Callithrix jacchus: one gene and its partner. The protein of the gene in region 2 purifies or fractionates together with the protein of the main gene of each other region. This does not show direct contact. Links are inferred from orthologs where the notes say so. Each region holds a gene or a part of one and is shown on either strand. Other genes may lie near its edges.

Region 1 (3,473 bases), on a different chromosome or scaffold from region 2:
AGGCTCTCATTTGATGATGTGAATGGGATATTCCTTTATATATCCATTTAACCCACGTTTACTAAGAAGAGACCTCCAAATGTCAGATGATGGGAGTAGATGTGGCTAACCTAATCCCTGCCCTGCACTAGCTAGCAGTATACAGTAAAGGAAAAGGGCAGTCCTATCAGGTGGGCACAAAAGAAAAAGGGACTGAAGGGACCTGGTAGGTGATGTGCAGGGACTTTCAGAACCAAGGAAGCAGCATGTGCAAAAGCAGAGAAGAGCCTTTAAATTTCTCTCTTGGGAGCCTACCTGGTGCCACCAGCCGAGAAGGGCAGCCTAAGAGGTTTGGATGCAGGAAGCTTTGGTCCTGGGGAGGGGAAGTTGGGAAGTAGGGGTGCTGGGGCAAGCACGTTGAGAAACAGATTGGCCCCGCACTCCACCAAATGTTTGCTGCCCCCTTGTGGATTCACGGAGTGCTCTGGCTCCAGACCCTTTTTCCAATGGCCCGCTGACTGCCCCGCCTGCACGACCTCACCGGCACCTCAAATTCTGCGTGTGCAAACTGGTCTAAAACCCGGGAGACATCCTGGATCGGAATTCCCTACTTCTCCGTCCAAACAGTTGCCAACTCGAGACTGAACCTACCTACTAGTATCTCCCGACCTAATCTTTTTTTTCCATTCCTACTACTTTTTCTCTGGTTCGTTAGTTTAACAAATCATTTAACAAATATTTGAGCGCCGATCATACGCCAGACACCATACTAGGCTCCGTAGGCACCCCTGCCCTCTCAGCCCCCAGACTCCGCGGCCAGGTGTCGTCAGGGGCTGCGGCCTGATTTCCCCACCACTCCTCGGCTCTCTGCACAAGATCTGGTTCGACAAGCCGCTGGAAAACCCCCGTAATCCGCCAGCGCCCACAGGATGAGGCTGAAGCCCAGAAGTCGGTAATTAAGGCTCTCACCTCTGCAACAGCGGCCTGGGAACTAAACTCATCCTGGTCTGGCTTTCTGGCAGGTGTAGAGCTCTCAAGATGAGAGCTTTCAAGATGAGCTCCAAACTGAAGCTCCTGCTCGCACTCACTGTGAAACCCACTGCTCCCCTTTTGCTCAACAGGTAACGCCAGCCCTCCCCATCTTCTAAGAGCCAGATTCCTCTCCTTCAGACGCAGGACTTCTCTGACGGCTACTCCTTTCTACCGCAGGATATCTTCCTGCCTCCCTCCAGGGCGTTACAGTGGAGACTGCGCTAGTGTCCCAGCCCCACTGGGACTGCTCCGTAGCGGCCTTGCGGGTGGTTCCGTTTCCCGGCGGAGGCGCCTCGCGGCCGGACCCTCAGGCCCCGCCCCCTCGGGGCGTGCGCGGCCCCGCGGCCTTGGAGCTTCTGGGCTCGCGCGCCATCTTGGCTCCGGATCGGCAGTGAGGCGGCTTCGGTGAGAGCTAGAACCTGGCAGGCAGCGGGGCGCTCGGAAGTGGTGGGAGAGGGGACGCCTGCTGCTTGACCGCAGCGGCCGGCAGGACCCTGGAAACGACCAGGGCTGTCTTGGAATAGCCCGAGCAGCCTTCTGAGTCGAGCCTCTGCCCCTGAGTTTCTGAGTGACCTGGGTTGATATGGTTCGACCCTGGTAATCTCTGGGAGAGCGAAGTCAGTTCTGCTTGGGGGCAGCACTGGGTAAGGGTCCTTGGTTGTTTTCCGGGGGCCCTGGGGCGAAGTGCCTTGTCCCTGTCTTTGTAATCCCCCAAGTGACTAGCGCTCTCTATTGGTATTAGTCTGGGGTGAGGGTTCCAGGCCCTGTTCCAAGGAATCCAGGATAAGCGGGACTAGGCTCCAGTTCTGAAGAGTTTCGGATGAGGGGGCCTGGCGTTATCCCAAGAGCTCGGTGTTTGGGGAATTTGGTGTTGCCTCTGGGACTCCAGGATTGGAGGTGGGGGTGTTATGGCCCTTGTAGAGGACGGGGGTGTGGGGGCTACAGCCCCTTCCCAGAGTGAGGCAGGCATGGCCCTTGTCATGAGATGCTAAGGACCAGGGGATACGATCCTGTTTCTGGGAAGTCTGGAACGGGGAGCAGGGCCACATCCTGAAGGGAGGTAAGGGATGGTGGACAGTGACCTGGGCACATGGCCTAGCACTCATCTGATGCTTCCGTGCAGTGGGCAGCGAGAGTCACAAGACAGCAAACTGATGGAGCACTACCGGAAAGCTGGCTCTGTGGAACTCCCAGCACCGTCCCCAATGCCCCAGCTACCTCCTGATACCCTTGAGATGCGGGTCCGAGATGGCAGCAAAATTCGCAACCTGCTGGGGCTGGCGCTGGGTCGGTTGGAGGGCGGCAGTGCGCGGCATGTGGTGTTCTCAGGTTCCGGCAGGGCTGCAGGAAAAGCTGTCAGCTGTGCTGAGATTGTGAAGCGGCGGGTCCCAGGCCTACACCAGCTCACCAAGCTACGTTTTCTGCAGACCGAGGACAGCTGGGTCCCAACCTCACCTGACACAGGGCTAGACCCCCTCACAGTGCGCCGCCATGTGCCTGCAGTGTGGGTACTGCTCAGCAGGGACCCCTTGGACCCCAATGAGTGTGGCTACCAACCCCCAGGAGCACCCCCTGGCCTGGGTTCCATGCCCAGCTCCAGCTCTGGCCCTCGTACCCGAAGAAGGACTTGAGATACCCGATCCTGAAGACCTGCTCAGCCAGGCTGTTCTCCAGGCCTGAATGTCTGAGATGTGTGTCTTTTCTGAAAAACCCTGTGACTGCTAGACATCCCCATCAAGGCTCAGATCCACAGAGGTGGGCCCCCTTGTCCTGCTTCCCCTTCTCTCTGGTATGTGGGAAGGGACTGCTGTGAAGAGTGACAGGTGTGGAGCCTCTGCCAAGTTCTGCATTGCTAAAGAAGGGTTTACTCTGTCTTCTACCTACAGTGCATCTGAACTGCCTTCTGACAGAGGTCCAGGGAGGGATTTAGAAAATAAAGTTTCTACCTATTTGATGAGACTCTACTCAGCCTGCTATGTGGAGTGGGATTAAAGAAATGGGAGTCCCTGCCCTTAGCCCCCGGGAGCTGATTGGGTGAAGAAAGAGGAAGAGTAGGCTCAGGCTGATGCTGGGAGGATCTAGTGTAGATAAGAAGCCTCAGTCAGTACTGAATATAGTTAATTCCCTGGGTAGTTGTTTGTACCGTTTTTGGGCTGGTTTAAGAACACTGTCAGGTCAGACATTTCTCATCATCTGCAACATACAGTATAGTATAGTGGTTGTGAGCATGGACTCAGGCACCAGCCTGCCTGGGTTTCAGTCCTGGTCTGCCACTTAGCAAGTTACTACTCTGTGTGCCTTAGTGTTCTTATCCATAAAACAGGAATACAATACTGTTTATCGCATAGGGTTGTTACGAGGTTAGATAAAGAAATACGTGACATTTAGAAACCACCTTGGCGCATAATGCTATTAAATGTTAATTACTATTATGATTATTAATGACTTACCTATCCCAAATG
Region 2 (3,512 bases):
ATACAATATTCTTCTACTTAAATTTTGCCAAGGGTTTTTATTGTTGTCATTTTAAAAATCAGGAGTGAGACAGAGACCATCCTGGCCAACATGGTAAAACCCCGTCTCTACTAAAAATACACAAATTAGCTGGGTGTGGTGGCATGCACCTGTAGTCCCCGATACAGGGGAGGCTGAGGCAGGAGAATTGCCTGAACCCAGGAGGCGGAGGTTGCAGTGAGCCGAGATTGTGCCACTGTACTCCACCCTGGCGCCTGGCAACAGAGCGAGACTGTCTCAAAAAAAAAAAAAAAAAAAAAAATCAGGAGTGGATTTTAAACTTTATTAAATGTCTTTTTGGCATCTATTAAGAACATTCTGATTTTTCTCTTTTGACCTATTAATATGCAAAAGGATACTGCATTAAAAAGAACTAGAAGGCTGAGTATGGTGGTTCATGGCTGTGCCTGTAATCCCAGCACTTTGGGAGGCTGAGGCACAGACTGCTTGAGTACAAGAGTTTGAGACCAACTTGGACATGGCAAAACCCCATTTCTACAAAAAAATACAAAAATTAGCCGAGATGTGGTAGTGTATGCTTGTGGTCCCAGTTACTCGGGAGGTTGAGCTGGTAGAATGGCTTGTTGACACTTCAGGCCAGGTGAGAGAGTGATACCCTGTTTCATCAACAACAACAAAGAATCAATCTCACAAAAAAAGGAATAAATGATGTACTCTGTTTTAATGTTTTTAAATCAATATTTTATCTAAACATCTATATTCATTGGTGAGGTTATAAAGTTTTCTCTTTTTAAAATTATATTTTGTCCAACTTGCAGAACAGTTTTCTTTCTCTTGTTTAAAAGTTTCTTATTCAGTTATACCTCTGGTTCTACTCCACTGTGTTTTAGAGCCCTTACATTAATATTACATAAATGCAGACATGTGCAAATAAAGCTACTTGTACTTAACACGATCCTGTTATAAAAATAAATTATTTCCAAAGCTGATTGAGTCCAATGCTTTGCTATTTTAATGCAGCTATTAGGAAAATCAATATTAGGTTTTTAGGGGTTTCTAACTAAAAGTAAGGAATCCTATTTCAAAGACCTCATGGAGGTATGAAGCAGTGAAGTAAGAGTCCAAGTGTAATTTTACATGTGTATCCTCTCTACTTCTACAAACTACAGCAATTCCTTTTAGGAAAAAAAAATGTTGATTTGGTGAATACATGAGAGAGAAGCTTAAAACATCAACTAAAAGTCACTTCTTCAATATAAGTTTGAATATCTTCAAAATAACTACCATTTGACTATGAACAAGTAATTTTTGAGAGAAGCTCTTAAAATATTCAAACATCTGGCTACACTGGTGGTCCATGTAATCCCAACACTTTAGGAGGCCAAAGTGGGAGAATGGCTTGACCCTAGGAGATTGAGACCAGCCTTGGGAGCATAGTGAGACCATGTCTCTACAGAGAAAAAGAAAAAAAGCCAGGTGTGGTAGTGTGCACCTGTAGTTCCAGCTACTTGAGAGGCTGAAGAGGGAGGATCACTTGAGCTCAGGCTTGAGGTTCCAGTGAGCTGTGATTATGCCACTGTACTCCACTCTGAGCAACAAAGCAAAACCCTATCTCAAAAACAAAACAAAACAAAAATACCCGAAACATCTTATTCAAGTGTATCTGCTGTTATCACTTACATAAAGGAGAAATAAATAAAGTCTTTCTCTCTTAAAGTACATCTAAATTCATTAAGCTGGCAGTCTTTTGAAAAAAATGCTTCACTAGGTTTTGTTTGTTGTTTTAATGGATTGGAAGTAAAACTGTTCTTAGAGACTATTGATTTCTAGCTCCAAATGAAAACAGTAAATCACACAAAGGTTTTCTCTTTGTTGTGGCCGATGAAGTATAAAAGGGAAGAAGGGACTGCTGACAGAGACTGGGGCATTCTTTTCAGCCCTCACACTTGGCTTTCTTGGGAGCTGGAAGACAATCTTCATCCCCTTCTAATAGCCGAGGTTTCTTCACTGTAGAAATAATTCCAAAAGCAGTTTTTCTAGTGTCTGTAAAACCAACAGGAAAACCATTGTGCTTGAAGTTAGGACATTTAAAAAGAGGTGGTTTAACATATGACTTTGGCTTACAGTAGTAGTAAATGATAAGCCATAATGAACTGTTACGGGTGCTAGTGTCATTTAGTATCATCTTTTTTCCCCAACATAAATAAACATCAGTATATTATTAACATATAATTTATTCCTAAAGATTACCTCATGCATAAAACTGCAGGACAGTGTTATGTCTAATGGTCCGTCCATGACATCTTATGTAACCAGAACCCAAGTCATAGATATTGGTGTAGCAGATGCTTTATATATGGTAGACAGACAAGTCAAGAGAGGAGACACAGCAGTCGAGTGTATGGCTCCCACGTGGAGCACATGCTTGTCTTGTTTTACAGCATGTACCCTATCTCTCTATTAGAACATCAAGGTACCTCTGAAAGAATCAATTGCATTGTATTGTGAACACCCCACAATGGCCTGGTTATGCAAAAGGTGTTCAATAAATACTAGTTGAGTTAATGAATAAAATCAAACTCATAAATTTATTGATCTCTTATCTAACTGGTGACAATGAACAAAGAATAACTGGGAATTATTAGATACTTAGATTAGGTTGGCAGCAGAATTCAACTTAAATTTAACTTCTAGAAACCTACTAATAGGTTAGGCAAACTGTCCATATACACAGGGTATTAAGATGTCTAACAGACAGTGCTTTTCCCTATAATACATGCATGTGAGAAGCACAGTAAGAGCAAATATAATAGGAATGGAGGCAGTCACAAGAATTAACTGCCTGGGTAAAGCAACGAGGTATTCATATAAAGGAGACACTACTTGGAATAAGGTAAATGGAATAAGAAAAGGAGAAGTATTCCTTTGCAAAGGCATGGACAGAAAGGTAAGAAGAACCTAGATAAGATAGTTTAGGGGACAATAAGGCTGGTATGAAGGAGGAATATGAAAAAATTAGGAGGAAATCAGGCTGAAGAATAGCTTATGAAAGGCCACAGTGTCATGAAAAGAGACTCAAACTCTGTCCTTAGAAATGGAATGGGATTATGAAGGAGGGAGATACTCATTAGCTACAAAGGAGGCAGAATCAAAAGAACTTGAACAGAAATTTAGTTAAGAATTACTCAGCCGGGCGCAGTGACTCAAGCCTGTCATCCCAGCACTTTGGGAGGCTGAGGCGGGTGGATCACGAGGTCAACAGATCGAGACCATCCTGGTCAACATGGTGAAACCCCGTCTCTACTAAAAATACAAAGAATTAGCTGGGCATAGTGGCGCGTGCCTGTAATCCCAGCTACTCAGGAGGCTGAGGCAGGAGAATTGCCTGAACCCAGGAGGCGGAGGTTGCGGTGAGCCGAGGTCGTGCCATTGCACTCCAGCCCGGGTAACAAGAGCGAAACTCCGTCTCAAAAAAAAAAGGTTTCCAAAAAAAAAAGAATTATTTCTTGGCC

Evidence for each region. Proteins that work in one complex are often made in the same cells at the same time.
Region 1: the proteins of RPP30 (region 2) and RPP25L purify together in Homo sapiens (co-immunoprecipitation; 3 studies listed by BioGRID and IntAct, counting the BioPlex papers as one, with this or other methods). This does not show direct contact. The link is inferred for Callithrix jacchus from reciprocal best matches to the Homo sapiens genes RPP30 and RPP25L.

What each region holds. Positions count from the first base shown.
Region 1 is NC_133502.1:141,477,091-141,480,563, reverse strand, and holds RPP25L (ribonuclease P protein subunit p25-like protein), read left to right. Parts: upstream 1-1,369; 5' UTR 1,370-1,416; exon of another isoform or gene 1,417-1,655; intron 1,656-2,134; 5' UTR 2,135-2,165; coding exon 2,166-2,642; 3' UTR 2,643-2,965; downstream 2,966-3,473. UniProt on the Homo sapiens protein: May be a component of ribonuclease P or MRP.
Region 2 is NC_133513.1:83,675,092-83,678,603, reverse strand, and holds part of RPP30 (ribonuclease P protein subunit p30), read right to left. Parts: intron 2,044-3,512; coding exon 1,934-2,043; 3' UTR 1-1,933. UniProt on the Homo sapiens protein: Component of ribonuclease P, a ribonucleoprotein complex that generates mature tRNA molecules by cleaving their 5'-ends. Also a component of the MRP ribonuclease complex, which cleaves pre-rRNA sequences.